4 linked regions of the Schizosaccharomyces pombe genome follow. The gene in region 3 interacts genetically with the main gene of each other region. Each region holds a gene or a part of one and is shown on either strand. Other genes may lie near its edges. The genes, in order: sei1, SPOM_SPAC11E3.12, nrk1 and akr1.

Region 1 (8,904 bases), on a different chromosome or scaffold from region 3:
TAAGAAGGCTGTGGACGACGATCACGGAGAGTTGAGCAGATTCACTAACAAAGTTAGGTTTACAACACGTTCCTTGTAAGTTCTTTAGGCAAGGAACTTGTACAAGTGGAAAAAACTGTATATTTAGTCACGATTTAGAATTGGCGACAGAGAAAACTATTTGTAAATACTTCCAAAAAGGAAACTGTAAATTTGGTTCTAAATGCGCGTTGGAACATGTTTTACCTGATGGAAGAAAAGTAAAGACAAGAGCCTTTGCCCCATCTACTACAGCTATGGGCTCAAGCTCTCAAAACATATCTGCTGCTCCTATGGCTAACATCATTTCCAACAATGACAAAATATTGCCAATGACTACTATGGCATCAGCCACAGCTTCAGAAGAAAAAAATCGAATAAAAGATGAAGCTTTAGTAATTAAAAAGGAAGAATCCAACGTAGCTATTCCATCGGAGGTGACTGTTGCTGCCAATGCGTTCTCCGCTTCTACAGAAGACGTATATTCTATTGTGGGGGATAGTCTCTCAAAGAAAGCATCTGTTAAGGATTTCAGTGATGTGACTGGCATAGAAACCATTCCTGCCTATGTTGAGGCAACTAATGGAAGTTCCACGGTACGTTCACCACATGCAAAGCGTAGCCTCAGCTCCATATCTGTTAAAAGCTCTACTTCTCCATTTTCTGGAAGCAAATTTCTATCTAGTTCTTCCTATCCGCATACGCCAGAGGCACATCTTAACTCCAATCACATCTCACCCGCCTCATTTGGCAGCGGAATCAGAACGAGAAACATATTCAATCCAGAATCTATGTCTCTTGGTTTGAAACCCCCAATACTAAATCGCTCTTACAGTGCATCTATGGCTCCGGGATTTTCTATGAATACCTTTACCGCAACCGGTAATCTTGGACGTCCTACCAAAAGCCCTTCGGTACCAACAAGCGTCGGAAGTAATAAGAGTAGGAAGTTTCCAGGAATAAATGGTAGTACGCTTACTGCTACTCCTAGTTCGCTTGAGAACCTTTATCCACTATCAAGTCGTCGGAGCGTTCCCAATCTTATATCTTCCCTCGGTACTAGTCCCTCGACGTTTTCATCACAGTTCCTTAAAAGTACTGACCGAACTCATTCTTTCACCTCGAAACTTCAAAGTTTTAATCCTGTGGGGACATCTTTACTGGCTTCTTCCTTGGGAACTTCACAAGAGGACTCTGTAAATTATGACATTCCTGACGAGTTCGCTAATGAGGAAGATTTCATTCCCAACAGTTTGCAAGAACTCTTGACTCCAGAGGAGTTGGAACGAAAAATGAGCCATGGTGATGAAGCAGTAAGTTCTTCCTCAGCTTCAAGATTTATGTCAAAGGTTTCTTCAAACCTGAATAGTGGGAATCCTACACCCTACAATTCTTATAATGGAACACCCACCTCCAGTAGGTTTGTTGCATTTTTTGATCGTCATCGACAAGAATCTGAGAAAGCTACTCCTCCTTCACTTAACAAGGTTTCCCAGGAACCGCTTACAGCAACTACACCTAAAAATTTAGGAAATTTGACTGCAATATCTGAAACTTTAGAAAACGGACAAACCCTGAAGTCTAACATGGCCTCTTCTATTGAAAAATCAAAAACTTCAACAGAAGTAGTGGCTTCTTACGATACAACTTTGGATGAAGAGACTCAATTCCAAATGGATGAAGCTTAGCATATGCCCTATATCGTTAGTGGCTATTTCGATTTAATAATGTGGCTAAACAAAAAAAATTTAGCTTCACAAAAAGGTGATTATTTTCGTGTTTCACCACTTATTTATTATATTTGTGCTTTTAATGGAGATACCAAAGGTTGCGAGCTTTATCTATGATTGTCACTGCTAGTTAGTATTGGTAATAAAAGTAGTGATAGCTGTTATTTACATTGAAACTGCAAGTATAGTTAACTTGGTGACAATACTAACGACCCATAAAATACTGATGAGATTTTAAGAACTCCATTTTATTAAACCAGTAGAGTTTAAAATAGTAGAAAATTTGTCAGCATTGAAACCGTCTAGACATTCATTTTGTTTATTTAGAGACTTCATAAAAGACGATGGGTGGACTATCATAGTAAAGTATTTTGGGAGAATCCCACACCTCCAGCTGTCGAGCATAGAGGTTTTGGATGAGCTTCAAAAAGTTAAAAAATGTCTCTTGTCGTCGAAGACTAGCGCTAAGGATAATTTTACAATTTGGATTTATTGTTATAATTTGTGTTAGGGTAGTAGCCAAGCACCTTAAATCACAATCGTAAGTCTATAACATACTGCATAATAATTAGTACGCATCAAAGAATGCACTAATTATTAAACAATAAGTTTCCGTTAGCAGTTTAACCTTAACACGACTTTTCAATTTCCTATTTATAGTTCAAGATTCTTGACTTACCACGTCGGATGCAAAAACAATATCTGAGAATTCTGGTGGATCTACTCCCCATAGTAACTTTTTAACATTTATATCACAATTGTTTAGTCGAGCGTTCTCTCGCACACCATCACACACTTTTGTATCACCGTCTGTAGCCAAGACGATGGACCCCATTTTTGCACATAGTATACTAACAAGACCTGTACCAGCTCCTAGCTCTAGTACCCTCATTCCTGATTGAACGGGATGTTGATATATGTATTCGGCGAGAGCCATTCCTGCTTCCCATGTACGAGCTCCAGTGGTTCCTTCGCGCAAAAGAACATGCCGGGATTCCCGTATTAAAATATCATACTCTCCTAAAGAATATTGTACAGGAGGTATATACGTGCTGGAGAGAGATTCGATATAAGTGTACAGCAGTGCCTCGTTTCGTTCATTATGGCCGCTGTCAATAGAGTCTAAAAATCGAAAATATGATTTTAAAAAAGCCCTGGTGTATGCCGAGGGTGTCACTATTTCCGAAAGAAACACTTGTGCATAGTCATTAAAGAGAATAGGCCAGTCAGTTGGCTTGCTTACCCATTGAAAGCGATATAAGTCAACTTGCTGAAGATATTGCTGTTTCACTTTTGTTAAGAACTCGGGGGCACCATGCATACTCCCTGTGATGCCTATGATAATTAATTGCCAGCAAGAATATCGGTTACAAAAATAACTCACTAAATGACAGTTAGCAATGCATTGTTATACTTTTCTCCACAGTATTTTCAATATATTTCTCAAGCATATACAAAATGGATTTAGGGAAATGATAGAATGTACGAATGAAGCAAGAACCCTGCTTGAAAATTTATTTTTTGTTCACCCATTACTATATCTCGATGAAAATAGTGTAAAACTCACAATTTCTTCGAATACAATATTACACTTTGACAGCAGCTTTAACGCGTGGGTTAGTCTGTAATTGGCAGTGGAATAGTTAACTGTTTTGTAACTTCATAACATACCCACCAAGTAATCCACCACCATGTCGTTGAGCTTTCACTGGTAACATTTTTGGTGGTGAGTTTACCCGACCAGCCGCGGATAAAGCCGCGGTGGTAAATCATTACACCAAAACTTGGGTTAGAGATCAAGGATTCATTCAAGTAGTGTTATCCATACGAAAGCCCTAAGCATGGGTTATTTAGTTAAATTATTCAAGTTAGTAGTATGGATGTTGGTAATAGGACTATTTTCCATACCAAGTTTAGTAAGCTATGTCATATTCTACGATACCGTGATTCCTCATTCTGTAATTCAATATCCAGTTTATTTCAATTATACGTATGTTTGAAAATTTATATACGGAAAAGGTTTGAAGAGCGCATGTAGAAATGAATCGTAGCGGTGGAACTTTTAAGCTGCGTTCTGATTTCTCTATGTCTCTTTCTGTTTCGTGCATTTGTTAAGCAATTAGAATCCATGCTGACATACTTTAATAGAACGGGTCTCAACTTTCCAACTGCAGAGGTCAGATTGGACCATTTCTCAATTGATCCTAGGTTACCTGGCACATCTTTGCTTCAAATCAAAATGCCGCATTCTCCTCGAAATAGTGCTATGGGCAATTTTATGGTTTCTGTCGATTTTCAAGATAGAAATCAAAGATCTCTGAAGCAGGTTAAACGAACAGTCTTGCTTCCTCATAGGTCTCCTATTCACGAATACCTTAAGCTAATTGTATGTTCACCTCTTTACTTCATGGGGATTTTGGAAGAAACAGATATTGTCAATGTCCGTTTGTTCGAATCTGAAACATTTGCTAAAAGTTTTAATTCAATTACAACACTTTCCGTTAGATTTTCTGTCAAAAATACTCCAGCTCAAGCTATTGTCAAAATTTATTCTAAAGATATTGAATTTTACGAAGCGACTCTAGCTTTTGCATCAAAATTGCACGGCATGCGGTAAGTTTTACTTTTTGATTTACCTTCTTCATTTTTTTTACTTTACTCAATTTCTTTACCTGTTATACTTTTTCACAAACTAACTTGTCCTTACTAGCTGGTTCATGTATACGCATAAGGTTTCCGCATTTCTCGTTTTCACATCTTTATTTTGGTTTACGGGGATAACCTCAACGATAATTACCTATCTTATTGTCTCTTCCACATCTGAAACAAAAGCAACAAGACGTTGAATCTTCTCACATCTTCACTTGCATCTAAAATCATAATCGTCACAACCATAAAAATACATTATTATTAAATTAGAAAGTTCCATTATTGCTTTATCCGTTAGACCCATTATTCAGCTGCACCTTTATGTACAAAAAGTTGAAAAAGGGTAAAGCAATTTAAATCAGCACTGATTTTTTTTTTAGAAAAAAAAAATCTTTCGCTAGCATCTTCATTTTCGTCATTATTTATTAGTCGCCTAATTATCAAGAAGGCTGTACCAGTTCATACCGTCCATAAAGGAGTATAATTATATGTTCGCAAAATGTAAATACAACACGCAAAAAAGCTTGCAATAGCTCGGCGCACAATATGTAATCAAGTCCGTAAAAACAGGCAAAAAGAAAAAGGACGTAAAAAAGTCGCAAAATGTTGGATTTCATAACCGATAAAAGAAGCAAAGGTTGTCCTTTCGTTGCTAGAAAATGGGGGTTGTCTGCATTAACAGTATCTTGAGACGCCATAAAATCTTTAGAGGAGTTATTCATTGTTGTATTAGTTGCCATGAGTCCTGTTTCATCGTCACTAAAGCTCGAAAGAACTGTGCATTCGTGGCTTGATTCTTCATATGTTGGCATAGAGGAATCGTACCGACGACAAAAGTCGTTTAGGGTTGGAGACATTTTGGAAAGGCTTTGAATAATCCATTTTTGGATACCAATTTCCTCTGAAAGCATCAAAAATCCAGCAACCAATTCTTTGTTTCGCGAACTTTCAGCAGTAAGAGAGCTTTGCAATGATTGACTTATGTGTTTGCATTCTTCTATCGTTTTCTTTTGTTGTTTACATTTAAATTCCAATTCTCTTAATTCTTCACTTTCCCGCATTCCAACCGCAGGAATAGAAATGCAAACTGATGGTTGAGTGAAAGAAAGGCCAACCTCTTTGGAGTAAACCATTTCGTCAAGGTTAGAGGGTGATAAAAATTCATCTCCTTTTGGGTTATTAGACAAAGCAATTAAATGTTTTTCTCTAGTAAGATCATCTATGTGGTTGTTTAGCTGATTATTAGAATTTTTTAATTCATGGTTCTCTAAAGCAAGCCGACGAATAGTATTCTCATTTTCACTTGACCGAGATGCAGCCAAGCTTAATTCCTCAATTTTCTTAGTCTGATCTGTAAACTTACGCAAGAGAGTGGCATACCGAACTTGCAAGGCTGAAAGCTCTTTTTTTGTGGAGTAGAGGCCAGAGTTTGTCTGTATGAGTTCTGACTGAATTTTCTGAAAGTTTTTGTGAATGTTTAGATTTTGAGCCTTAAGAGTCTTAATTTGGTTATTTTGCGAATTATTGGCTACCTTAGATTCATTATATTTGGAATCTGCCATATTTAGTTGGTGGGTAAGTTCATTCACTTTTCCTTCTAAAATATCTACAGTACGAGATTTCTTTCTAGCTTGATCTCGAGCTTTATCTAACATATCCTGGAGTTCTGTGATTTGCTTGATTAGATCATGGTGCCCGTTGGAAAAATCAGGTTTATCCTTCCTAACAAGTGGCATCTCAGTATTTCTGGACGACGTATTTCTTCTTGTTAGAATTTTAATGACTTTTCTAAAAAAAAAATTCTTACCTATTTAGTGGTGTAGATTGGGCAAATGGAGTTCGAAGAATATTGACAAAATCACTGTCGGTAAATTGAGACATCGGCGGCAAGGACAGTCTCTTAGACATCATTTGAGAAGGGTTTAAGGATTCAGGAGAGGCATTAGAAGATGATTTTGAATGTGCAGAATTGACAGAGTGTTCATTTGCATCCTCTTTGATAGAATTTTTGGAATTCTGTTGCTCCATCGAAGGCTTTTCAGCTTGATTCGCAAAAGAGTCATCTTCGTTTTCAGTAAGTTTTTTATATACGTCTCGAAAATTATCCTTTGTAATAGAGAGATCTGCATTTTGCCGTACGAATTCGAGTGTACATTGTTTTTGGAATTCGCTCAAAAGAGGTGGTGCAGAAGCGGGATGTAAGAGTTGTAGGTCATTGATGATTGGCAAAAAGTTGGAAAGATGAACCTAAGAAAATTTTTTGTTAATAGTTTATCCTATTGGTAATTGGGTAAAGCGAGAAAAACCAGAGTCTTGAGAGTTTGTCTCTGACTCAATAAACAAGATCTACCTGCATAAGCAATCAATTTTTTTCATACTTTTCCTTCATGTTTAAAGTCATATGAATCGAAAATCAAGTCAAAATCGCGTTCATTTAGCATTTTGGAAAGGGAACTGGCAATTATAATTATACAGGAAACGAACCACAATTCTAGTGGGAATGGGATTCAGTTTTGAATTTTTTTGTTAGAATTTATCATAAAGCTGCGTGCATTTCATAACAGTTCACGAATTCACCGCATTTCTTAAGTGTTGTGAGTTGGGTTTCGTGCAAGGTCTATCCAAGGGTTTGGCAGTAGGGCTGTTGAGCAAGTGGTTTGAGAGACCAAAAAGAAGTACACAGAAAAAGACGGATTAAAATAAAACTTGAAAATAGATAAAAAGATGTTAGAAGAAATCATGTTTATGCTTGATTTAAGAGCAGCTAGAAAAGTAAGGCCACAACTTGGTCGTACTGTGCATACTTAAGTGATAATTCAAATGAAATCGCAAATTAAAAAAAAAAAAAAAAAAAATTATTTTTAGTGAAGTAGAAACTATTCGTATTTGTTTTATAGATCGATCGATTCCTCTGAGAACTTCAAGCGAATTTGCAGTAATTTAGAACGCCAGCATTTATAATTGCGGGTCAAACAACGATCGCCCAAGAATCTTTCATAGACTCCAAATAAGATTGGTTGATTACTTAACTTATATTTTGATCCTTGAATCGTTTTAGTCAATCAACGTCGTATATATTGTACTTTTTAAAAAATACAAGGTTTTGATCGTAAAAAAAGAAATGCATAGAAAAGGTCAGATTTTTTCATCCAAGAATGTGCAATAAATACAGAAATTACTTCTTTTTCTTTCAATTTAGCCAACTCTTTCGAAAACGTCTTCTATTTACATTTTCTATATAGCTACTACTCAGTCAAAACAGTTGGTTAGCATGTTACTTTATGAGAAGCGAGCGATGTGACGTCAAAGGTTTTTTGGCGAAATTAACACTGTCCATATGTATATGTGTTTGAGCGTGTAAAACCTGGTTTCTGCCATTTACATATTTTGAAACCTCTGTACGCTAGTTTAGTTATTTCTCGTATCATTTTATTTTTAACTGGTGCAAGAGACAAGAAAATTCATTTACTTTCGTGAAGATTTGAAAAATTCGTTTGTCAGCTTAGAATTCTTTGCTAGCAGCATTATTTGTACATTTTCAATTGGACCTCTCTTAGCTTTCAAATTTTATTAAATCTTCTTTGTTTTCTTTCTCTTTTGTACGAAGTGATCATCGAAAAGATAGAGAACATCGGGGTTTCCATTTATGGGCGATAATGTATTTTTAGAGCCTGATCCATGGGCATCTAGCAGTAATTGGGGTTCACCAGTGAAGCCTTTAAATTATAAAACAGCAATTGGTTAGTAAAAGTTTTGTTCTTCTGTTTTTTCCTTCTCAATTAATAGTTAATTTTACGGATCGATGCATTCTATCATTGATTTGTTTCTTTAGCTTGATTTTTTTTTTTTTCATCTTTCTTGCTTTTTTACTTACTTACTGTAATGATGCTAACCTTTTTCTTTTTCTTTTTTTTGTCTATAGGTAATTCATCCATTCCTTTGCAATATCGAAATTATTGGGACGTGTTTCAAGCAAACAATGTTCTCTTATTTCCAGAAGAAGAAAGTTATTCTGATATATTTCATGTTCCTCAAGATGTAATGAAAGAGTTCTTTACCTTGATTGAATCATCAAGCAATCAACCCTTACGGCAAATTCAGTTTTTCGTTTTGCTTGCCTTGGTTGCCTGTTATCAATTAGGTGTTCCTAGCACATTGGAACAGATTTTCAAGCAAAGAAATGGTAAGGCTTTTTTTTATCTTTGCTTTTTTTTGTCTTTTTGCTTACTTCCTCCTCCTTAGTCCTGCCCATTTTGCAGCGTTTTAATCCGGAACTTTTCAATCGTAGTTCTGATAATGAAACCCCTCTTTTTCCTAATAATTCTCCTCCTGCTTCAACAACCGCCTTGAATCTTTCATCCAACATTGTCCCTTCCATTAATGAATCAAAAATTTTAGAACAAGAGGATGACGACGTCTCCAATAAATCCCTCCCTCACGCTCAGCAAAGCATCATCCGTTCGTTTCCTGATATTCAAAAGCAGCCGAAAGGATTCTTTTCCTATCC
Region 2 (7,850 bases), on a different chromosome or scaffold from region 3:
GGGTTTCACCATGCACGTATAAATTTCCACAAATCATTCTCAATGATTGAAGAATGTCTGTATTTTCAAAATCGTAAAGTGAAATGTAGTGTTTCAAAACAGCTTTGTTGTATGGTTTATCTGTGACAAGCCACGATAACGCTTTATCATTTGAGACGATATGTTGTGAACCTTCCCAAATATCGATGGCAGCCATTTTGGCTGAACTATCGTCAACTTTGAAAGAATCTGATGATACCCTAGATTGATCAATTCCTCCGTTGGAAAGAGCTAAGGTTTTTCTCGTAGTTTCTGATGTACTTTTAGGAATAGAAAGACTAGATTGACGATTAATACTTCTCCTATCTCTCAAATAATTAGACGAATCTCTCAAAGGAGTTCTGGAATTTCCATAAGGACTAACTTTCGGGTCCACCATTAAATTACGAGATTCCCCACTGACAGTACGATACGCAGTGCTGAGATTTTTAGCGGATTTGTTTTGTGAATCTCTAGATTTTACTGGTGAAAGTTCAATTTGACTATTCAAACCTTCATAAGTAGATACTTCCTCCTTACAAGTATAAAAATCATCTTGGTCAGCAGAAATTGATTTTGTGGTTACTAAAGGTGGTGCAGGAGTAGTCTTAGACATAGCATTATTAGAAGTCGAGATACTTAAACTGGAAAGTATAGTTTCAGCACTAAAAGAAGGTCCTAAGGGGATATCATCAAAAAATGAAAGTGAAGTTGAGGGTCTAACAGGTAATTGCGATGGAGTAGGAGTAGAAGAAGTGATACTAGACATAGATGTCATACCAAAATCTCGTCTCATATCTTTATTTAAGCGAGTCCTGCTAGAATTGCTGGTCCCAGTTAATTGAGAAGTAGAAGAAGAGAATCCCATTACAGATTGAGAGCGAGGATGACTAGGCAAATCATTGGTTGACATAGAAGCCTTCGATTTATCTTTACCAAACAATTTTACACGCATTGAAGGCCTTCTCCCAATTGTCTGAGTATCATTTTCTTTGATAGAAGTCAGAGGGTGACGACTCGATGATTCGTTTTTGAACCAAGTGGAAGGAAAAAGACGCTGTAAAAATGGTTTTGAAGAACGAGTTGAAGTTTTTGACCTTTGTGAAAGAGAAGAAGGGCTCCTTTTGTCATTCGACGGAGTGGAATTCCCATTTTTAAGGTACGCATTGGAAGCGTTTCTGCTCATGGCATTAGCCTAAAAGTATAGCATGCACCGAGCAACTGCAGAGAGATTTTACTAATGGGGCTGAAAAAAAAATAAAGAATGAATAAGCAGTTAAAAGATAGTGAATATTAAAAGAACGTGCAGATTAGACTTGATTCAAGTCAGGGAATATCTTCGATAAACCTGCAATTTACAAAAGCAAAAAAGATAATATATGCCTAATTATTCAAAAAAGTCTTCTCTGTTTGAGAGAAACGAACTTAAATCCTGGAGTAGTCAACCCCAGGTGTTAACGGGATAAGCAAAAGCAACGCTGCTCCTCATCCCCAAAATACCGTTTCAAATTTAGCCATTCCTAAATACTAAAAAATAATTAATTAAACACTAACATTTTTTTTTCTTTCTCATTTTAATGATATTTCTACACTACGATTATCGATGATTGTTTGGTTCTAACAACGATGAAACCAATACGTTTTTTTAAACCAGAGAATCTTCAGCTTGCAAAGGCTATACTTGCTAGATATCCTCTACGCTTCCAAAGTGCTGCTTTGGTACCATTATTAGATCTTGCGCAACGACAGCATGGGACTTGGATTCCTCCGACAGCAATGTATGAAATTGCTTCTCTAGCAGGCGTATCAATTGATTATGTGCATTCGTTAATGTATGTTAAGTAAATAACACATAATGATTGTGCTTTACTTTGTTTCTAACCAAATGTAGTTTGGCATACCCTAATGATTTTTTCTGGAGGCCTAAAAAACCGCGTGTTCGTATTTGCAATTCTTGGATGTGCCAACAAGCTGCTGAGGAGCAAGGCAATTCCAATTGGGATAGCCAATGTCGGTCTGTAGCGACCAAATATGGCTTTGATGTCGAGAATACGGTAAATATTCTATAGCAATTAACGATGTACTAATTTCTATTGCTTTTAGGGGTGTTTGGGAAACTGTTTTCAAGGACCAGCTATGTGGATTAATGACAAGATTTATGGAGTGAATACTAAGGAAAAGTTAGTAGACATAATGGAAGCATTGACCCAAAAGAAAAATTAGGATGAAGACATAAAATGAAAATGACCAAGTCTGTACCTATTATTATGATGTAAAAGGATTTGGTTTACGAAGTTTTGGCGTTAGATTGTTCAAACAAATTAGGTAGCTTATGAAAGAAAAGTATATCAACGAGAAAACATGGGGACATTTTACAAACGAAAATCACTTCACAAAATCTGTTTTGTTTCGAATATATCAATAATGAACTTGAGAAGTATTTTTCATCCATCATTGTTACACACGTTGTTAATTATGATTACGCGAAACACTTTAATCAACACAGCTACAGAAATCAGCATTAATCTTTTTTAAGATCAAGAGCACAAGCCCCTCTACCAAAGTTGGCTATTAATTAATAACTACACGACGATGTTAGTCGATAATGCAAATGTAATATATGAGCAATCTAAATGATGATGCTAATGGATACGTATGAAAAAAGATCAAAATTTAAAAAAGGCACAAAATGGAATGCGAATGAGCCAAATGAAAATAAGCTAAAGATGAGAGAATAAAGCTAATGATGAAAGATGAGCGATTGAAAAAAAATGAAATGTAAAAAAAAATTTCGAATCAGCAAACTTGAAAAAATTTACGAAAAATGAAAGCGAGTGGTATGAAAAATAATCATTAAGCAAAAACAAGTCCGCTAATTGCCAGTATACCAGCAAAGACGTAAAAGCGAGAAAGGTTAAAAGTAGAAGCGGAAGAAGTAGCCGAGGAGCTTCCAGAACTAGATCCACTGCTATGAGCAGAGCTACCACTAGCAGATGTATAACTTGTACTCATACTTGAAGAGCCAGAAGATATGGAAGATCCGGAGGATACGGAAGAGGATGAGGCTGTGGTTGACGCTGAAGAGGATCCGGAGCTGGAACCTGAGGTAGAGGACTGGCTAATAGTGGCTTGAACAATGTTTGTGTTGATGGTAGTGGAGACACTGTGAGGACCAGGAGATACTAAAGCAGTAGCATTGGCACTAAACTCTTGGTTGCTGGGGGCATTGAAGCCAAGGGGTTGTCCAGCACCCGACTCAATGAAACCTTTGGCTTCAGAAGGCATGGTAGGAAGAGGGAAACTAGTAAAATAAGAATCGTCAGCAGGACAAGTGAGGGTAGCGGGACTTGAAGAATAATCACCGTCTCCAGTATAGTTAGCAGCGGAAGCGTACTTTTCCTTTAAGGTTTCATAGTTCTTGCTAATTGTAACATTATCGCCATCAATAACAACTAATCCATAGTTATTGCCCTCTTCAGAATACTGATAGACGAGTCCGCCAGAGAATACAGAAGACATTTCGCTAGAGAAAATAGCATCGACCTCGTCGAAAGGACGATCAGGAGTACCATCGGATTCCTTAGTAACATCGTTACAACCATATTCAGACAAAAACAATGGAATAGAGTAGTTTGCAAATTCCTCCATACGCTGATCGTAGCCGGAGATGGTAAAGCTAGAATCGGCACCACACCATTCATACATGTTCATACCATAAAAGTCAGCACGTACAGAAGAGTTACCACAAGCAAAGAAATCGGCGCATTGTACACGGATCTCAGCTACGTCCGCAGCGGAATAGCCGACAGGAATATCGCGGTCTGAATTCTTTGAGATGTATTCTTTAGCATCGCGAAGAGCTGCCTTGACCCAAGTGGTAGTAGCGGAATTTTCGGCAGTGTTTGCAACTTCATTGCCAGCAAAGAAGCCCAAAACATTTGTGTAGTTCTTGAAAGCATCGATGGTAGCAAAGATACCTTGTAAGAAAACAGCATTATAACTTGATGCTGCATCCAAACGAGAAATAGAGTTAGAAGAAGTAGCCAAATCAAGGATAACATATATACCTGCATCTTGAAGAGCACTCATGCACTCGTCGTGATTAGCAGAATTATCGACCTGGTATACACGAATGGTGTTAATGTTCAAACCTTGGAGATAAGGAAGATCACGTTTGCAAATACTAGTATCAGCAAGAGGATCCACTAGAGTGGATGAGCCGCCTGGTTGGTAATCAACACCACGGACGTAAAAACGCTCATTAGTATCACTATTGAAAAAGGCGTTTCCCTTGATTTTGATAGCGGAAGAGGCAGAGTCAGCCAAGGCTAGACGAGAACCTCCCAAAAGTAAAAGAGAAGTGGTTAAAAAATGGAGGAAGTTCATAGCAGATATAGGTTCAGTTCGAGGAAAAAAAACGAACGAGGGTTATTTTGAATAAAAAGATAGCAAAAAAAAGAGAAATGAATGGATCGATACTTTCAGTTAAAAGTAAAGAGAGAAAAGCAAGTTACTCGTTAAAAATGATAGTAGAAATGAAAAAGAGAAAAATGGGAATATGAAATGAAAATGAAAGGAATGCCAATATTTACGAAAAAATGTTGAAAATGATGAAAAATGAAAAAAATAAAAAAAATGAAGAGAGAAATGGAAAATGAAAAAAATGGAATAAAATTAAATGGAAAGATGAAAGTATCTACCAAATAAGAAAAGAAATAATTCTTATGAAAAAAGAACGCGTTCTTCACGATTAAGAAAAAGAATGGCTTCTTATGATGTAGCGAACGTGCACAAGATCCTTTATAAAGAATGCAGATGAATTGGATATTGCTCTGATTTGTAATGAATAAGCTATCCCACTATATATGGTAGCGGTGTGACCGGTTTTTTACGAGACAAGCAACAGCAACTGTGACTTGAAGAAACATGTAGTAACAAGCGATGGAGAAAGTGGAGACGAGAGGTAACTCATTTGATAGGATATAATTGGTAGTTACAGTGGATCGTAAACAAACAATACGTGTCATGTAAACAAACATGGAAGTGTGACTATTTATACAAACATGTAGGGAAATGCAAAGAAGACGGAAATATACGAAAGCATATAGAGTAAAGAAGAAAAGAAGAAGCGGCTACATTGAAAAAAGACGTCGAAAATGAATGGTTCAACGAACCGTTCCAATTCTGGTTCATTCAACGCATTTTCGAGAAAGAAGCGGTAGAACATTGCAATTGCATCTATGATTATTCTAGGGTAATTAAAGGAAAAGACAAAATAGAAGGGAAGTTAAAGGAAGAAATCAAAACCATCTTTTAAAGCTTTTTTTTTGGCAAACTTCGACAAAGCACTCATTTGATGGTCGACCAATGACAAATTAATAAACAAAGAACGGTGTCACTCATAGTTCACATGTGCCAAGAAACAAGCAAGGATAATAGAATGTTTTAATCGAGCTGCAAATGCAAAGAAAAAAAAAATGTTTTGGCGATGTATGTTATGAGTTGCAGTCAGAATGTTGCTCAAAAACAACTTCAATGAACTATGTTGGTACTTCCACCCTCTATAGATTATATAGGAAGAACTTAGAATGCGGTAGCATAAGACTTGGTTTACATCTTGACAACAAACGCTCACTTTGCTAGAGCTTTTGGATTTCTTTCGCTTCTTTTGATTTGTGCGTTTCTATATTTTTCGGCGGTATTGCATAAATAATGAGGTGTTGCATAAATAATGGCTATGCTCATTTCTGTCTCCGTTTGTTTAGGACTAATCGTCTAAATACCAGTAACTAGTTGCATAATGCCTGTAGCCAATCCTTTTTAAGAAACCAGATGTTTTTATGATCAATTCCTCTTTTTTTTGTCTTATTACTCTTCCTTTATCATACCACTCCGTTGAATGTTTTCCTACTGCTTCCTTTCTTTCTTTTAATTATCTACTGACTGGCTTTTTACGCCCCATTCTCTTCTCTACTAAGAGTTTCTGTGCGCTTTACTATCTGCCGTCTCTGAGGTTTGTGAAAGCGGTCGGCAAGAAAATTAATTTTTAAAGCGCAAAACGTAGGAATCGCAGTGACGCAAAGTTTCACCCTGATGAAGAAATTAAATGTGTTGTAACAAAGATCCGAAAAAGCAAAAGAAAAAGAAAATTTCCCTCCGAAATAGCTTTTCTTTGTCGAAATTCTCAAACAAAGAAATTAAACTTACAAAACTAAGGAACCAATTTCCATCTACTTCTACTGCGTCTTTATCCAAATTCCTTTGTACATATTTCCTCTTTTCGCCTCTTCGACTTTTATTATAATTTTTACAAATACATTGAATTTTGCCCAAAATGATTATCTTCTTATTTTAACTTTTTTTCTACTTCATACAAGGTCAAGCGATATTTTGCTGCAATTCCACCATATCCTCCTTTTGCTCTACGCTACCGGTTTTCACATCCTTACATCCTTTACCTTGGGCGGCTAAATCTTATAAATGTATATTATTACGTGTAGCAAAGGAATGCTTAGTAAAAATGCAGACGTAAACAATTGCTAGGTAATAGTGTTATTGGGTAGCAAATACAAGAGGAAGAAGATGGAAGATAATTAAATAAGAAGAAAAGAAAGATGAAAAGGGGGCGGCATTTGGAAAGAGTAATTTGTAGGAATTAACAATGCAACCGACTCCGAATACACACTATCTATCAATCACCCATGTGACTCAAAATCATTCATATTCGCTTGCATTGACTTGAACATATCAAATGAGTTCTTGCATCCGTTCTCAAGCTGACTACAAATCTATGTTAACTTCAAGGTTAATAAAAACTGTGTTTGGGAATAAAAAACAATTGTCTCCAATTAACATATTTAGCTGTGTGTTTTGGGTTCTCCAAATGCTTTCTTTACCTAACTCCATTCTATACATTTCAAGGTACGCTAGATTTCGTTACGCTTTGCTATAATGGTTAGCCAGCGAGAGTGTAATCGGATAAGGGAATTTTCCAACCATACTCATTACCGAAGCTAACTATGACATAAGACTTTGTTTTGGCTATGTATATGTAAACAGCCAAAGGAGAAACTATATAGAAGCCCAACTACATTCTTGAATTGAGTGAAAAATTTCCATCTTAAAAATACTACACAAAAACTGTACTATATACAATTTCTTTTTAAAAAGCAACAAAAAGTAAAAGAAATTTTTTTTTTCTTTCCCAGTTTGTTTGGTACGTTATAGCTCGTTTGCACATATATATACCAAAGGGCCGAGCTTATTCCGCATTTAATCCGTCAACCTTTTCCATCAACTGGAACTCGAGTATTTAATCTTTCCACAAAGAGGTTTTGGTTGAATTGGAGGTATTGTTTGAATCATAATTTCATTTTTTCCTGCTATTTATTTTTTTGTTTTTATTACATTTTTGTTTGGATTCAAATCAATTCGTAATCTCTTGAATTGCCTACCAGGTACGTTGATCGGTGGTTTGCTCGGAGACTGTAGAGACTTGAGTGGTAATCTTCCTTAAATTTCAAATCGTCGACAAGTCAATTTGTAGTTTAACTTTATTGTTATTATTTTTGATATTACTTTGTGACGAGTTCTCTCATTGTTGATGTTTTTGTTTTCTTTTGAATATCATCGCAATTCTCCCTTTTCTATTACCTTACATTATTTTTTCTGAAAAAACCTCTTTTCTTCATTTGTCTCGTTTTATTTTTCATAGCGGTTGTTTCTGTTTAATCTTTCATCATTTGTTTATTTATTATAACTATCTTGCTTTTAGCAACAATTCTTTTCAAAAATTTTTTTATTACTTCTTCAAATCATCCGTTGTTTTGATT
Region 3 (6,395 bases):
AGGCTCAGGACGGCCAGCACGGGGGGCAGCAGGACGAACTTGACGCTTGTGAGTAGCGGGCACAACCTCAGCGGGAAGGTGCAAATACTCACGCAAGTATTCAACACCCTCGTTGGTCAAGGTGTAGTAAAACCATCCCCAATTGTAGCGGGTCTTAAGATAGCCGCGAGAATCCAAGGATTGACAAGCCTTAATGACTTGCAAGTTGGGGACACCAACTTCGGGGTGCTTGGGGAGGTTGAAATCTACGCTTGTTAGTTAAACCTTGGTCTACGACGTTTTTTAGACATTACCCTTCTTAGCAACGAGGACACCTTGTTGGAACAAAGCTTGATGAATGGCCTTGCGGTTCTCCTTGGGAATAAGCATTTTGTGAGGAATTTGCACGCTGCAACTTGTCGTTTCTGTGTTGAGGTCTACACAGTGACTGTTTTTTTAAAGCACATTTAGGGTAGGGTATGGTCTTTTAAAGAGATAAGGAATTTTGTTACAATCCGTTAATGGGTCTTTTTCCAAGAAGTAAACAATGGAACCTTGAAAACGTTAAGGCTAATAGGAAAGCAAATCTATGACTATGGAATAAAGCACAAGTTCATTACAACAGATTAAAAAATTTTCTTTAAGAAAGCAACAATAATAATCTATAGTTTTCTTATTTATGCACTCCAAAACATCAAGCATGAGAAAATTACTATTTAGAAACAAGCCAATATTTTATCATTGTTTACCGCCTACCAAAAGATGACATTAAATAGTAGATTCAAAAATTGGAATCTCATATCTAGCAATAACATACATATCATAACTATCCTCTCAATCTTAATCTTGGAAGTCGATGCCCTATTAATATCGCCGACGAAGATTTGATGGTGTCCATGGCAAATTGGGATGTGTTTCAGGTGTGGCATTGTCCACTTGTTTGTATATCTTTACGCTTTTATCAGCCTCACAAGTAATTAGACGCAAACCGGTTTTATCAAAAGAACTAGCAAAGATTCCAGCTTCGCTATCCAATGAACCAGGTTGAACAACAGATTGAAGCTCTTGATATTTGTGACCAGACTTCCAATCCCAAAAGCACATGCTTCCATTATCAGCACCAGAAAACATAACATTATCTGAGTTTATTGAAAGAGTATTAACGATTGCATTATGTCCTTCAAAATTACCCATAAATGCGCCTTCAGGGAATTTCCAATGTTTGATATTGTCGGACGAGCCACTGGCAAAAGTAAATTCATCTGGATGCAAAGACAGGGCACGAACAGTTTTTTTGTGATGTGTCAAGGTCGTCAAGGTTTTCCCAGCTGCTAAATCCCATAATCTGATAGTAGAATCCATGGAACCCGTGACTACTTGAGGATCGAATTCTTGAACGGCTAAAGAAGCAACAGTGGATTTGTGGCCCGATAAAACATGGACATTTTGGCGAGTGCGCATATCCCAAACACGAGCGACTGCATCACGACCAGCGGTAACAAGGACGTCAAGTGTTGGATGGAGTTTTAAGGCATAGACTCCGGAAAGATGCCCGTGATAATGGCGGATCACTTTATTAGTTTCGAGGTCCCAGCATTTTACCATTTTGTCTTCACCACAGGAAAATAAATATGGATGACGGGGAGATACTGCTAATCCTCGCACAGTGGCGATATGCCCAGTCAATGTTAGCTTAAGTACTCCAGACGCTAAGTCCCATATTTTGATGGTGCGGTCCCCAGCACCCGTGCAAAACCATTGATTACCGGGTTCAACATCTACGCATCGAACCCAACCCAAATGACCACTAATAACACGCATAAGAGTCCATGGAGCATGCCATTCAGGGCGAATCTGTTCGGCAAGAGTGCGCTTTACGAGAGAAGCCTGGGATTCTCCGGCAATTCTATGTGCTGCTTCAGGAACTCCTTTAATTTTTTCTAAAGATTGCATGGAAACCTGCCCTGCTATTTTCTTATTAGGATCTGAAAACTTGGTGATCACTTGGGAGGAAGGGTTTTCACTGTCTGCTCTAACCGTCAAAGCATTACTACCAATAGTGTCTTCTTCGTAATGTCGGTTCTTCCGTTTTCCAACAGTTCCTCCAAGAACAGAACCATATTCTAAATGTTCTTTGTATGTTCTTTTGAGATTTTGAGCTACAGTATCGTCAAAACTGGTAACTGACCCAAACTCGGCTCCAAAAAGAGTTTTTGATGTTCTAAGACTATTTGTAGTCAAAGAAAGTACATCTGTATCATCCGATATGTTTTTTGCTTCTGTCATAAATCTGTTAAATTTTTGGTAGAGGATTTGTAGGTAGATGGCAGTTGGACTGACTTATTTGAAGCATCATAATCCACGAACATTAGCGAACGAGAAATATTAAGTACTAATATTTGAGAATAAAGTAGCTTACAAATGAATTGTCAAAATAAAAAAAGGGATGGTTATCAAGTAATAAAAGTTTGTAATATATATACATTTATTAAACGGTCTAGTTACGGATTATTAATAACATGATGTTCTAAAAGCGATAGTAGCAATAAATATATGGAGAGGAGGAAATGATGGAAAGTAATTAATTAACCCTGAATTTAAAAAGTAAATCATGCACAGGTAGTCTTGTCTAAAAAGAAAAAAAAGAAGCGGTAGAGAGGATTTGTGTATAAGTCAGGTAGTACTCAGAAAATACAAGTCGAAGAAAAGATAGATCAAAACGGATCATTGTAAAGCATTCAAAATTGAATTAATGGCCCATTGGACGTTATCTCTCACAGACATTTTACTAGAAGGGCTTAACTGTATACGCTTATCAAGCAATTTCCCTGTCACATCGCCATTGACAAACAAATGGGAATGACCATGTACATAGCCAGGCCAAACATAATTTTCGAAATAATGTGGGGGGTCTTGCCAAAATCCTGGAACAATTTGGAGTTAGCCTTAACTGAAAGGTACAACGATTAAACACAGGTGTTATGTTTTATCTGGATAGTTGAATTCTTACCTTCCAACGTTATATAACCAGTACGGGCTTCTCTACGACGCTTAAGCGTATCAAAATCGGTCACCAGCATCAGTCGAATATCAAATGCGTTTATAAGGTCTTCATTAACGTACATCATAAATCCGTCTACGAAAACGAGATGCTGTTCCAAAGTTGGAATGGCCGGTGCCTTGAATTCTTTAATTATATCAGCGTATTCTATTAGGGCTTCAGGAGCAACATTTTTATTTTCCCTATTTCGAAGGTGAGTAGGTAACACGCCATGATCACGGATATAATGCAAATTTTCAAGGAAAGCGTCTAAATTCAACGACTCTTGGCAATCCCAATCGGCAATGCCGTTTTTGACTGGTATCTCAGCATCAGTCTACAAAACAAACGAGTTAGTATATCAATAGGTGCTTTGGCACTACATAAAAACACAGTGTTTGCTTCATCGATAAGATTCAACCATCGGTTTTTAAAACGAGGGTACGATTTATTCTATGACACTTGCAAAATTCGCACGACTAGGCAAATAGACGAAATAATCTAAACGAACCTTGTAAAAATCATCTTCATGAACGAGAGAAGATCCTTCAAAAATGGCATGTAAAAGCTGGCATAGAGTCTGTCAAAACAAGAAAGAGAAATTGGTTAGTACTTCATTTTTTTTTTATTTTGGAGTTTTTGATTTTATTTTATTCTTTCTTATTAATCAAAATTATCATACCGATTTTCCACTACAAGAGGCACCACTAATTTTTTCTTGTTAATAAAAATTCATTAAAACAATTGCCTGTAGAACTTACCTAACCCCAACAATGATAGTTTTCCGAGTCATTCTAATGATAATATGGAAAAATGAAGGTAAAAATTGAGACAAGAAGCCTGGACAGAAGCTGGATACTGGAATTCGGTCTGTTATATTTGCACAACACAATTAATTAATTACCAGCCAAAAGCTGTAAGACAGGTTAACCGAATTTTAAAAAGAATTTGGATTTAAACAAAGCGCCTAGTATCTTAAATCAAGCTCGATGATTATTTGTTATGGAAATAAACGAGAATTTTAAAAAGATATGTGGTAAAGAAGCCGAATCCACAAAATTTTATAACAACCAACAAAACTTTTAGATATACAAGAACAAGTAAAAGATCACTTATAACGATTTCGCAAGTATAAGAAAATGGAAAAAGAAAGGAGTATACAAATTCTTTACGGTATAAATGGAGGATTTGAAAGATAATTTAAATTCACCAAATATTAACGCTTTCGAATACGTATAAGAATTTTTATATGGCAAATATGCCCGGTAAAGATTAATGGTGTTTTGAGTTATTGATCGTTTAAAACAAGAGTGAAATAGGAGGAAGGCTGGAGTTGGTAGTATGAAGATATGGTTAGTAGTATAATCAGTCAATAATACAAGGCTTTGGATGATAGCAATATACTAATCCGCTCCCGTCATGTATCCTTTACGAAAAGATAGGGTAGATAATAAGAGTAAAAAATACAATTTTTGTTTAAAATATATATATTTTTTGATTAGATAAAAAAAAGTGGTTCACTTTTTTTATTTATTTAGCCAAAGTATGTAGGAAATTGGAATTCTTTAATTGTTTTGCGAAAATTATTTTATTAATTATTGCTTTTTCCTTTCAAATTTGTGATAAACTATGTCTGAATAATATTAGTTTGCTATTTTCATTTTTTAAGTCGTTTTAATGTCTTTTGCTTATTGTTTACATTACACTTACTTAGTTCTACGGTAGCAAAGTTTTTATCAACTCCATGAAATGCGAATATTTCGATGAATTTAAAAAATATATGTATATTGGTTGAGTTTCTTGAGGCCTTGTTAAACGATTTTTGTAGTACTACACTTAGTAAATATAAAATTTTTTAACACTAGGTGTTTGGCTTCAGTTTTCCAATTTGACTAGCTTCAATTGCTTTTCCAAAAAAAAAATAAAAAAATAAATAAAATATAATAAAGCTATAAATTGCATGTAAATTGGATGAAACAATAGAATTAGTAATAATAATAAATACTGAATTCAAACATTAAGGAAATTTAAGGACACTATTTTAAAAATGAAATCAATATTGATCGAATTTCAATGGATCTGTATTGAATGCCAATGTAATTAGGAAATTAAAAGACCTTTTGGTTTAATAAAAAAATAAAAAAAGCCGTACCGATCTCTACCTTTGTTCATTATATCAATCTAATATGAGACGTAAAACTACGGATTATGAATAGTAAGTTTTCAAAGAGATTATAAAATAATACTCTTTGCATAAATTCTTCTCATCCTTTCAATTAACAGCGAAACGACGAAACACTGACAATCAATTAAATAAAAAAAAATACTATATCAGTGAGGAACGTCAAGTGAAGCTCAAGATTCGAAGTTGGCAATGAACTTTTATCCTCATAGAATTTCAAATCTATCCACATGTCTGTAAACAATGCATCAATGTATGGATATTACCAATGTACTAAACTGATCGTGGACAAATAATCTCAGAAAAGTCAATTTTTAAACAATATTGTTTTTGTAAAGATACTACTTCTGTTGTTTAGTCCAAAAATCCACTTACTCTACTATGTGCTTTCCTTTTCTTATAACGCATTGTTACGAACTTCATTTATTTACTTTTCCTTACAAACCTTCCATTCGTAAACCAGCATGTGGAAAACCTAAGATATCCCAAATTTTTTGGAGCCTTTAATTGTGCAATTGTAAATAAAAAATCTACATAACAAATTGTCTTAACCAAGTTGACAACGTCTTAATTTGTTGGTGCCAGCAGTGCATTTTGCGTGCAATGCGCAGAAGGGCCAGATCCATTCGTTTTAGTTCTGACGATAATGAAGATAATGAAGAAGATGATGATTATTACTCCAACGCACACAGCGAAAAATCAGAGGATCATTCAAATCATATAAAAGTTTCACATTTTGATCCTTCCTCCTATAAACAAAAGTTAGTTTCAGTGCGTGAAACTCAAAGAAATAGAAAATTCTCTTCGTTACAGAAACATCTAAACACAGAAACGCCTTCTTTTTCTGTTTCTATAGAAAATCCTTCAAAGCCTTCTGCGGCATTCAATGATGCATCATTGGGAAAGAAGAGTACTGAACATCAAATTGATGGTATCAGAAATGGAAGTAGTAACCTTCAAATGGAAGGAAATGATAAAGAGCTAGACACTGATAATAATGAGGACGAATCCACTACCTTTAAGGATGAAGAAGACGATTTGATAAGTCCGAAATCATATCTTACTTCTTCAAAAACCTTTTCGTATCCAAAAGCTCCAACAGAATCAACAAATGGTGATTATTTAGATGAAGACTACGTAGATGGACAAAGTGATCCTGAGTCTTCGAACGCCAGTGATTCTGACTTCGCGGAT
Region 4 (8,111 bases), on a different chromosome or scaffold from region 3:
TCGGAAGTGGAAAGTAACCCGGGGCAAAGTTAGCAACATTAGGACTGGTAACACGTGAAACATTATAGCCAGTCGTGGGATGAGCGGGAGCCGCTGCCATTTGGGTAGTGCTAAAGGGCAAGCCATGCATGGAAGTATAGCTCGTTGGGCTTTGAACAAAAGGACTCCCCATAAGAAGCCCGGTAGGGAGTAGAGCATGCGGTGTGTTTGGTGTAGCGAGACCTTCAGCACTTACAGTATGAGGGATAGTAAGTGGTGGTAAATGTGGAGTTCTTCCAGGGACAGAAAGACGGGACTGACTAGAGGGACTGCTAGAAGACATAATGACCGAAATCAATAACTGTTAAAGAAAGAATTATACTAAGAGCACAGCTGCTTGATTGACAAAGGAAGAAATGTAAAATAAAGAAATCAACGAGAGTGACGTTTGGTAACAAATAATAAAGGGGTATATCTTACAATTTATATCACTTTGAAATATATCGAAAACCAAAATCGGACCAATAAAGCTCACGAACTTAGGAGGCAACTTATGATGCGTTTAACGATAAAAATCCAAGCGGGTAATAAATGAATAGTTAAACAATATCGCTTAAAGCTAACAACAAGTCTGTTTAAAAAACTCAATTAGACGAGAAAGACAATAATTAATAGCAACGGAAAATCTTAGCCAAAAGAAAACTGTCAACGTCCAACGTATTTTTTAATTCTAAAAATAAGAAAACTCGTAATTCCCAAACTGAATAAGGAAACTTAGACTGAGAGGCACGTAGGCAAAGCGAATAAATGGAAGGAAAAAATGCGAATGAAACAAGCAGATCACAACAACCTCAACAAAATCTTGAATGATGTGGAAAGGAATATGAGCCTAACAATGGTAAAAATTTTTTTTTTTTTAATTTTTTAAAAAATTAAGCTTACTAAGTAAAGATACCGAACAAGAGTATTAGACTTACTCCAAGAAATTGATGGAGAATAAAACAAAGTGAAATGAACAAGAGTATGACCAAAAAAGCAAAGTATACAATTCAAAGTAGTACGAAAGAATAATCAATCAAAGAATTCTAAAGACGCGTAGAAGTGTATTTTATCTTATAAAAGAAGAGGAGAAAAGTCAACAGTATGGTCGACAGTGAAAGAAGGAGTTTTAGAGAAGAAAAAAATGAAAAGGGAAAGTTAAATTTCCAAGATAATAATGATTATGAGGAGTACAATGGAAGTAAAAAAAATAAAAAAAAAGAATATAGAAAAACTGGAATAAATATATTCGGAAGGCTTGGTAAAAATGCAGGGAAGAGAAAGTAGATTGAAGTCAATGCGTTCTAACGACCCAAAATATAGTATCACAGAGGAGTAAGAAGAGAAAAGAATGTGGAAATGAAAAAAGAAAATGAAAAAAGGCGATGATATTTATTTCACAGGTAGATTTAAAAGGTTGCTTAAAAAGCAAATAAAGGAGAAACAGAAAAAAAATAAGAGAAACAAGTACCAGTATTAGCGAATAATCAATAAGTATACCGCGAAACAAAAAAAATCAAAGCTTCAAAGTAATACACTCATATAAATGCAAATGGTAGAGAAAGAAATATGTTTTTGAGAAAAAAGAAATGAAAAGAGAAAGAATATTAGATATAGCCAGCGGCTATTCGTGTGGTTGAGTATTTGGTAGTGAGCACGTTAACGGCTTTTCGTTACTGCACTAATATTACTGCGTGCTTATAGAGAGAAACAAGCTACATGCCATTAACGATTATCCAGCGTACACCAACATGTGAATATGCCGCCCAAGGTAACATTAATTCTGGATGTTCCTTCAACGACAGAGCGCGAGTGCACAATCGAATGTAAACACTTGACAACGAGCATGGCAACGAAAACAAACAAAAAAGAATGCACTTGTATGGATTGCGGCAATGAGTTAAATAGTAATAGTGGTAAAATAAAGTAAATATATGCCAGTATAGACATATATTAGAATGGCCCACTAACAAGCACGCGCAAACCAAGTTTTCACACACTGTTTTAGAATTTTTCCATCAACGCCGCGTTGTAAATAAAAGTAAATAAATAAGCAGCCGAAGTGGCTCCCCGAGAGTTTCACACAATTTCGCCCACGTACGTATGTGATTGTGTGCTAAGCAGCGTGGGACTCAAGCAAATAGTTAGACTAACTTGATACAAATGCAGACATGTAATCATCTTCCACTTTGTATAAACACAACGAAAATTTTTATGGGGGTAAAGCTTCTGTCGAAATCTCGCCTCGCTATTTCAGATGATTAGTCGATATCAAAGGAATAATTCATAGAAAAAAGCATGTAGTGCCAAGTGACAAGTGATATCTAACGATAAGCCGCTCATAAAAAAATGTAAACAAGAATAATCAAGAATGTTGGCCGAGCAGAATAAATTCCAAAAAAAAAAATAAATCTTCTGCATGAAAATTTAAATTATCTCGTGCAACAATAAATAATGAAAATCACACAAAAATGATAACTTTGACCGTATGTCTTCTTCCCTGAACGCTTTGCTAAGATGTGACTTAAATCCTAAGCTAACACATTGTTCAAAAGTCTCCGCCTTGCACGGTAGAGGAATATTTTCCGCGTGAAATTTAGGGGGCGTAGACAAGCTCAGTAACTGTCAATTTTCACTTTGGATTTTTCTTTCTTTTTCATTCTATTCAGCTTAGTAATTCATTGACTATCTAATTTGTATTTATCAAAATATTCCGCTGTTGCTTAATCTCTATACACAATTTCGCTGTGAGTCGCTTTATGGTGGCCGCCAAGAAGGGTGAGCGAAAGCGCTCTCTAATTATTACACTGACTGATCAGATAGCTAAATAGTCTCCTGCAAAATTGAGTCTTCTGCTAACTTCAATGCCGCTGTAGCGTAGAAAAGTAGACTCGGTAGCTATTGACCTAAACATATCGACTTTTCTTCAACTCTGCAAACTAACGATTGTCAAGGCGTAAAGGTTGCTACGGAGATTTACATATTTACCGGCCAAGGCGTTTAGTCATTTGATTCACCGTGATCATCGGCTTTCGTTTTTTTTTTTAGAAACTCGGGTTAGCAGAGAAACAAATGCCATAAAGTAGAAAAAAGGCATATGCTCGTTCATAACACTCTACTTAAATTGTTTGTAAATTTTGTCAGTTTACGTAAAAATTTTGGTTGTATACTTAATGTTTAGCACTAATTGTCCTTATTCATAAAAAAAAGCAATACAATTTGTTTTATTAATTAATATTAAAGTAATTAGAACACGTAAAGAAGCAGATATTAGGTTTCAAACTACATTGCGATATCTTCAACGAACTACTAATGACTTGGTTTCTTCTGTAATCTTTTCCACTTAACTGTATTCTATTTTACTAATATAGTCTTATTGTAATGTATTCGTGAATCCTCCATTACCCATTTCTTACACTAGAAAAGAAAAGAAAAACTAGAGACCTATACACGTTTCTAAATAACAAAAGCGTATCTCATAAAGATAACAAGAACACTTGAGCCGCTATAAAAGATTGATATTTTTTGTTGGATTAAACAATCCTAAAGCCCAATTTTCTGCAAAAATTATGATCTAGCCATATATAGCCAATCTCTACATAGCAAAAATGAAACAAAAATCTTTTCATTGCAAAAATTAATAGCAAGACGCCAGGTTTCATCAGTTCACACGCACACAAGAAAACTTGAAGTTCAAGTAAACCTTTACTTGTTTCAATCTCATCCTCCCTCACGTTGCAACAGGGTCCAACGACCTTGGAATAAGAAACGAGCCGTTCTACAAATCAAGGATTTCACGATACGTGACATAGCTAGCATTTAATGAGATTCAGAGTGAATCGCGAATATTCTAGTCTAACTTAACTCAACACTCCCGCAACGATGATCCGTGGAGGGATTAAAATTAAATGATGAAGTGATAACTTTTTAACGTTATCAGGCATTCTAACGTTCCATTCTTAATGTTTATAATTAAATTTTTAATCGACAACAATTTAAACATGTCTTGTTGCCTCATCTTGCCGACCATCGTTAAGAAAGTTTTGCTTCCAAAATGTCTTACAGTTCTTAATTATGCTACCCTCATCATATGGATTGACTGTGGAAAGATTACGAGACAAAGAGGTAGAATTTTGGGAACCTAACTCAGCTCTCGATGGGAAACATCTCACAAAGCAATTTGATTCTCTAATTAACAATATACACTGATCCAATCCCAGGATACCACATACTGTACGTAGAAAGCTTCCATGAATTCCGTGACCATTTTTTGGAGATGAATTTTGCTTTGTAGGAGGAACGAGAGTTCCATATCGTTTAAATAGTCGGAATTCGGCTGTGGTCACGTTGTGAGCAACTTGACAAATCTGGGTAAAAGCTAAAACAACTACCCAACACCAATTCACAAACAAAGTTAGAGAAGCAACTAACACAAACATGTCTTTTAAAGACCACTGGCATATGGTACCAGAAATAAAAAGGCACCTATACGACTCGTATTTTTTTTGAATGGGGATATTCTGTAAATAATAAAATGCAACGTAAAAATAAATAGGAATTAAAGTAGACAATGTGAAGACAAAAAGAAGGAATGTTCTATGGTTCCGTGCCCCTACGCAATTTCCAGTCCAAGGACAATGGTGATCATAACGATTAATACACCTTTTACAAGCTCCACAATGATAAGAACGAGGAGGCTTAACTTGAAAGCATTTTAAACAATAATGAGATTGATTAAAAAGATCCTTGTCCAATAATTTGCTAATTTCTTCACGACGTTGAACGACGGCACCAATTTTGTCTACATATCCAGGATTTTGAAAAGCTGTACGAACATATAATCCAATACAAGTAAATGAAATCAAAACAAATAAAAGAGAAGAGAGAGGTTTTATGGGTAACGTCTTAGGTACTATATATAACAAAGAATGACACCATACCCAGAAGAAAATTGAGGAAAATATGCCAGCCAAGAATGGAGTTTCAAGATAGAAATGTACTATGTCAATATTCGCATGAATGCATGTTGTAATATATTTGAACGTAAAGTAAATCCACAAAGGAGCGATTATCAAGGAGATGACCATTGGGCAAATTGACATAATAAAAAAAAAGACGCCAGTAATTATAAAGGACGATAAAAAGCAAAAAATAATAAATGTTTTTTGCGAAAATTGAAATTTACTAGGAACAACGACCCATTTTTCAGGTTCTTCAGAGGTTTCTTTAACTTTTAATCCATTTGAAATTAATGCCTGTTTAAATAAGTGAGAGACGCGAAGTTCTGACGCTAGAGCCCAAGGGGTTTTCAGCTGTCCACTTAAATTAGCGGTAACTGCAGTACAGGGAATGCCTCCCTCTTTTAAAATCAGTTTCATGCATTTTAGATTTCCACCTACAATGGACCAATGTAAAGGGGTCATTTTATCTTCATCTGTAGCCAATACATCTGCACCCCATCGCAAAAGACAGTTTGTTATAGGCTCATTCCCATGGTATGAAGCCCACATCAGAGGTGTGTGCTGCTGATCATCACGTAAATCGACAGAAATATCGAGATGCAACAAATATACTACTAGTAAAGGACTTGCAGCGTGGACTGCCAAATGCAAACAATTGAAACCTTGTTTATCTTTGAGTAATGGGTCCGCACCATGCTGAACTAAGTAGTGAACAGTCTTCACAGAGCCACGTTTAGCAGCCCAATGTATTGGAGCGGCCTGTAAATCTCCGCCTATTGCATTCACATCGGCGCCATGTTCTAACAAAAATTTACATATTGGAATTTGCTGGTTCAGAGCTGCCCAGTGTAATGCAGTTGCTCCACCTTCATCTGTAGCATTAACATCTATCTTTTCAGAAGATATCAAATTTTTAACTGTGTCAAGTTCTCCCTGACTAGCGGCTAAAAATAATGAACCCATAAAGGTGCAGTTCAATGATTTTGTTGGTCACTAATTGTTACAAAATGTAAATCGGGAGGTTGCAAATTTCAGGCAAATATGAAAGAACAATAGGAATAGATCTGGTGGTCAAACTCCTAATCGTACAAAATTACATACAATCATGAATAAAAACGAAAAGAAGTAATTATAAATATAATAATTTTGCTCGTAGAAAGACACACTGGTTCAATGGTGTCTATAGTACGGTGCAAGCCTTTCGCCAGATTCATTGGTGGTGAATCGAGCAACCTTTATTCTGCTGTCATACTATCACTCCATCAGTAATGGTGTTCAAAAACTGAATTATACTTGGAGCGTTTACTATTTTTATACAAATAAAAAGAAATTTCCTTAAACCAGTGTTTAGTACGTTGATCCCCGGAAATTTTCTATTTCGCTGGCTTAAAATGCTTCAAATCCAATCCACTTCCAGCACAGGATAATTACATTTAAAAATAATACATTGTTTGTTACACAGCAGATGAGAAATTCCCTTATATCAAATCCAACAAAGGAACTTTTTCTTTTCAATATATAGATGTTGAGTTTGGAAATGATTAACAAAAGCAATTAACTTAATATTAGAGCTTATCGAATTCACCTTATTCTGTAAATAATAACAGCTTTTGAAGCTTTTTCTCTATCCTATCAGACCTTAAACATCTTTACTTCAGCGATATTCTAAATTTTTGTTGCCGATTTATTACAACAAAACCAAACGGGTTTAATAAAACTAAATTTCTACCATGAGTTTTACCAAGTTTTGCCGGGGATGTGGACAAACATTACAGTCCGCGAACGAGTCTGCTACCGGATATATAAAGCCACTAAAATTAAGTGGCATTTTTAGCAAAGGTTCAGTTTCTAATTTATTAAAGAAAAATCTCGATGAGCAAGCAATCTTTAATAATGCTTTTAAAAATCTCAACCCACAAATAAAAAAGCATTTCCCAAATACAACGAGTTTTCCTTTTCATGAAAAGGAGATTGGAAGAACTGATTTATTATGGTGCCAAAGATGTCATGATTTAAAATTTCATTCTCGCATACGTCCAAAGGAGTTGTTACAAGAACCCCAGACTACTCTACCAGATATCATTAGTACGGTGAATAATGATAAAAGTACTTGTTTGATAATACAGGTTATAGATGTTACTGAAGTTATATTTCAAGATTTTGTTTCAGCTACTCAATACACTCATTTCCCAGTTTTCCATTTATTTACGCATGCGGATGTATTACCTCCAAAAAAGCCATACTGGTTGTTTCCTGGGTTAGGAATTTCTTCAAAGTATGCTATGCTTTACACATCGCATTCTTTCAACCTAGTTGATAAGCTCTTGGGAAGGATAAATCCCTTGCTATGTTCGCGAGGTCATGTATATGTCGTAGGCGAAGCAAATTCTGGAAAATCTACATTGCTAAAAACTTTGGCTAAACGGGGAAATGGTGTTTTTAATGAGCTTTTGCTTGACAGTTTTTTACCAGGAACCACTCAAGCAATAAAAGGGTATCCTACACAATATTTCGGTTCCTGTTTTAAGCAATTATCTGAAGGCTTAATTTTTGATACTCCTGGATACCGTGGTAACTTGAAATCTTTATTACCCTGGGTTGATACTAAGCTATTGACAAGTCTCGTACCTAAAACAAGGTCTAGAAATAAGCAACTCACAAGTAAGCCTGTTCAGTATCGTGTTCGTTTCGGTCAGTCTATTATTTTAGGTGGACTAGTTCGTGTTACGCCTTTTGAAATAAATGAAGATGGAAATCATGAAGTTGGAAAGCCAATTATGTTTAAAAAGGAAGATCCTTCGAGCACCACGATACACTTTTTGTTCTCGACTTTAAAAAATAAGAAAACAAAAGGCAATACCAATAATATGAAACCTCTTTTGATTAAGTTATTTACAAAACTTCCCGCTCATATTACCTCTATAACAAAATTACAATCACTTGAAAATTCTACGAAAAATGATAATGTTCCTTTAGTAACTCACTCTCCGTCGCCGATGCATTCTTCTTTTACCGTAAGTATTAAACCGACACAATTATCGGAAAACGTGTTCGATCCTACATCTAGTGGTGAACTGGTCATTCACAATTTTGGCTTTCTTTCGTTTTCTGCTTCACGTCCTATGAACCTAC

Evidence for each region.
Region 1: mutations in nrk1 (region 3) and sei1 together harm fitness more than expected from each alone (negative genetic interaction), as found in Schizosaccharomyces pombe (one large-scale study listed by BioGRID).
Region 2: mutations in nrk1 (region 3) and SPOM_SPAC11E3.12 together harm fitness more than expected from each alone (negative genetic interaction), as found in Schizosaccharomyces pombe (one large-scale study listed by BioGRID).
Region 4: mutations in nrk1 (region 3) and akr1 together harm fitness less than expected from each alone (positive genetic interaction), as found in Schizosaccharomyces pombe (one large-scale study listed by BioGRID).

The regions. Positions count from the first base shown.
Region 1 is NC_003424.3:3,460,999-3,469,902, reverse strand, and holds sei1 (seipin), read left to right. Parts: upstream 1-3,558; 5' UTR 3,559-3,589; coding exon 3,590-3,738; exon of another isoform or gene 3,739-3,858; intron 3,859-3,896; coding exon 3,897-4,361; intron 4,362-4,458; coding exon 4,459-4,594; 3' UTR 4,595-4,837; coding exon of another isoform or gene 4,838-6,158; 3' UTR 6,159-6,204; coding exon of another isoform or gene 6,205-6,644; 3' UTR 6,645-6,775; coding exon of another isoform or gene 6,776-6,838; 3' UTR 6,839-7,231; downstream 7,232-8,904. Other genes in the region: zinc finger protein Cps3 , read left to right, coding at 58-1,706; efm3 (methyltransferase), read right to left, coding at 2,068-2,295, 2,428-3,069; protein Kms1, read right to left, coding at 4,838-6,158, 6,205-6,644, 6,776-6,838.
Region 2 is NC_003424.3:5,304,194-5,312,043, forward strand, and holds SPOM_SPAC11E3.12 (uncharacterized protein), read left to right. Parts: upstream 1-1,530; 5' UTR 1,531-1,644; coding exon 1,645-1,850; intron 1,851-1,909; coding exon 1,910-2,072; intron 2,073-2,121; coding exon 2,122-2,241; 3' UTR 2,242-2,855; exon of another isoform or gene 2,856-2,871; coding exon of another isoform or gene 2,872-4,404; 3' UTR 4,405-4,493; downstream 4,494-7,850. Other genes in the region: syt22 (guanyl-nucleotide exchange factor), read right to left, coding at 1-1,204; 1,3-beta-glucanosyltransferase Gas5, read right to left, coding at 2,872-4,404.
Region 3 is NC_003423.3:1,441,982-1,448,376, reverse strand, and holds nrk1 (nicotinamide riboside kinase), read right to left. Parts: upstream 3,813-6,395; coding exon 3,781-3,812; exon of another isoform or gene 3,727-3,780; coding exon 3,702-3,726; exon of another isoform or gene 3,600-3,701; coding exon 3,531-3,599; exon of another isoform or gene 3,479-3,530; intron 3,357-3,478; coding exon 2,990-3,356; intron 2,904-2,989; coding exon 2,704-2,903; 3' UTR 2,446-2,703; downstream 1-2,445. Other genes in the region: rps1002 (40S ribosomal protein eS10), read right to left, coding at 1-245, 294-369; Prp19 complex WD repeat protein Prp5, read right to left, coding at 844-2,265; abo2 (ATPase histone chaperone), read left to right, coding at 5,805-6,395. UniProt on the Schizosaccharomyces pombe protein: Catalyzes the phosphorylation of nicotinamide riboside (NR) and nicotinic acid riboside (NaR) to form nicotinamide mononucleotide (NMN) and nicotinic acid mononucleotide (NaMN).
Region 4 is NC_003424.3:548,842-556,952, reverse strand, and holds akr1 (palmitoyltransferase Akr1), read right to left. Parts: upstream 6,186-8,111; 5' UTR 5,943-6,185; coding exon 4,014-5,942; 3' UTR 3,358-4,013; downstream 1-3,357. Other genes in the region: RNA-binding protein Nrd1, read right to left, coding at 1-322; gep3 (GTPase-like protein), read left to right, coding at 6,710-8,111. UniProt on the Schizosaccharomyces pombe protein: Palmitoyltransferase specific for casein kinase 1.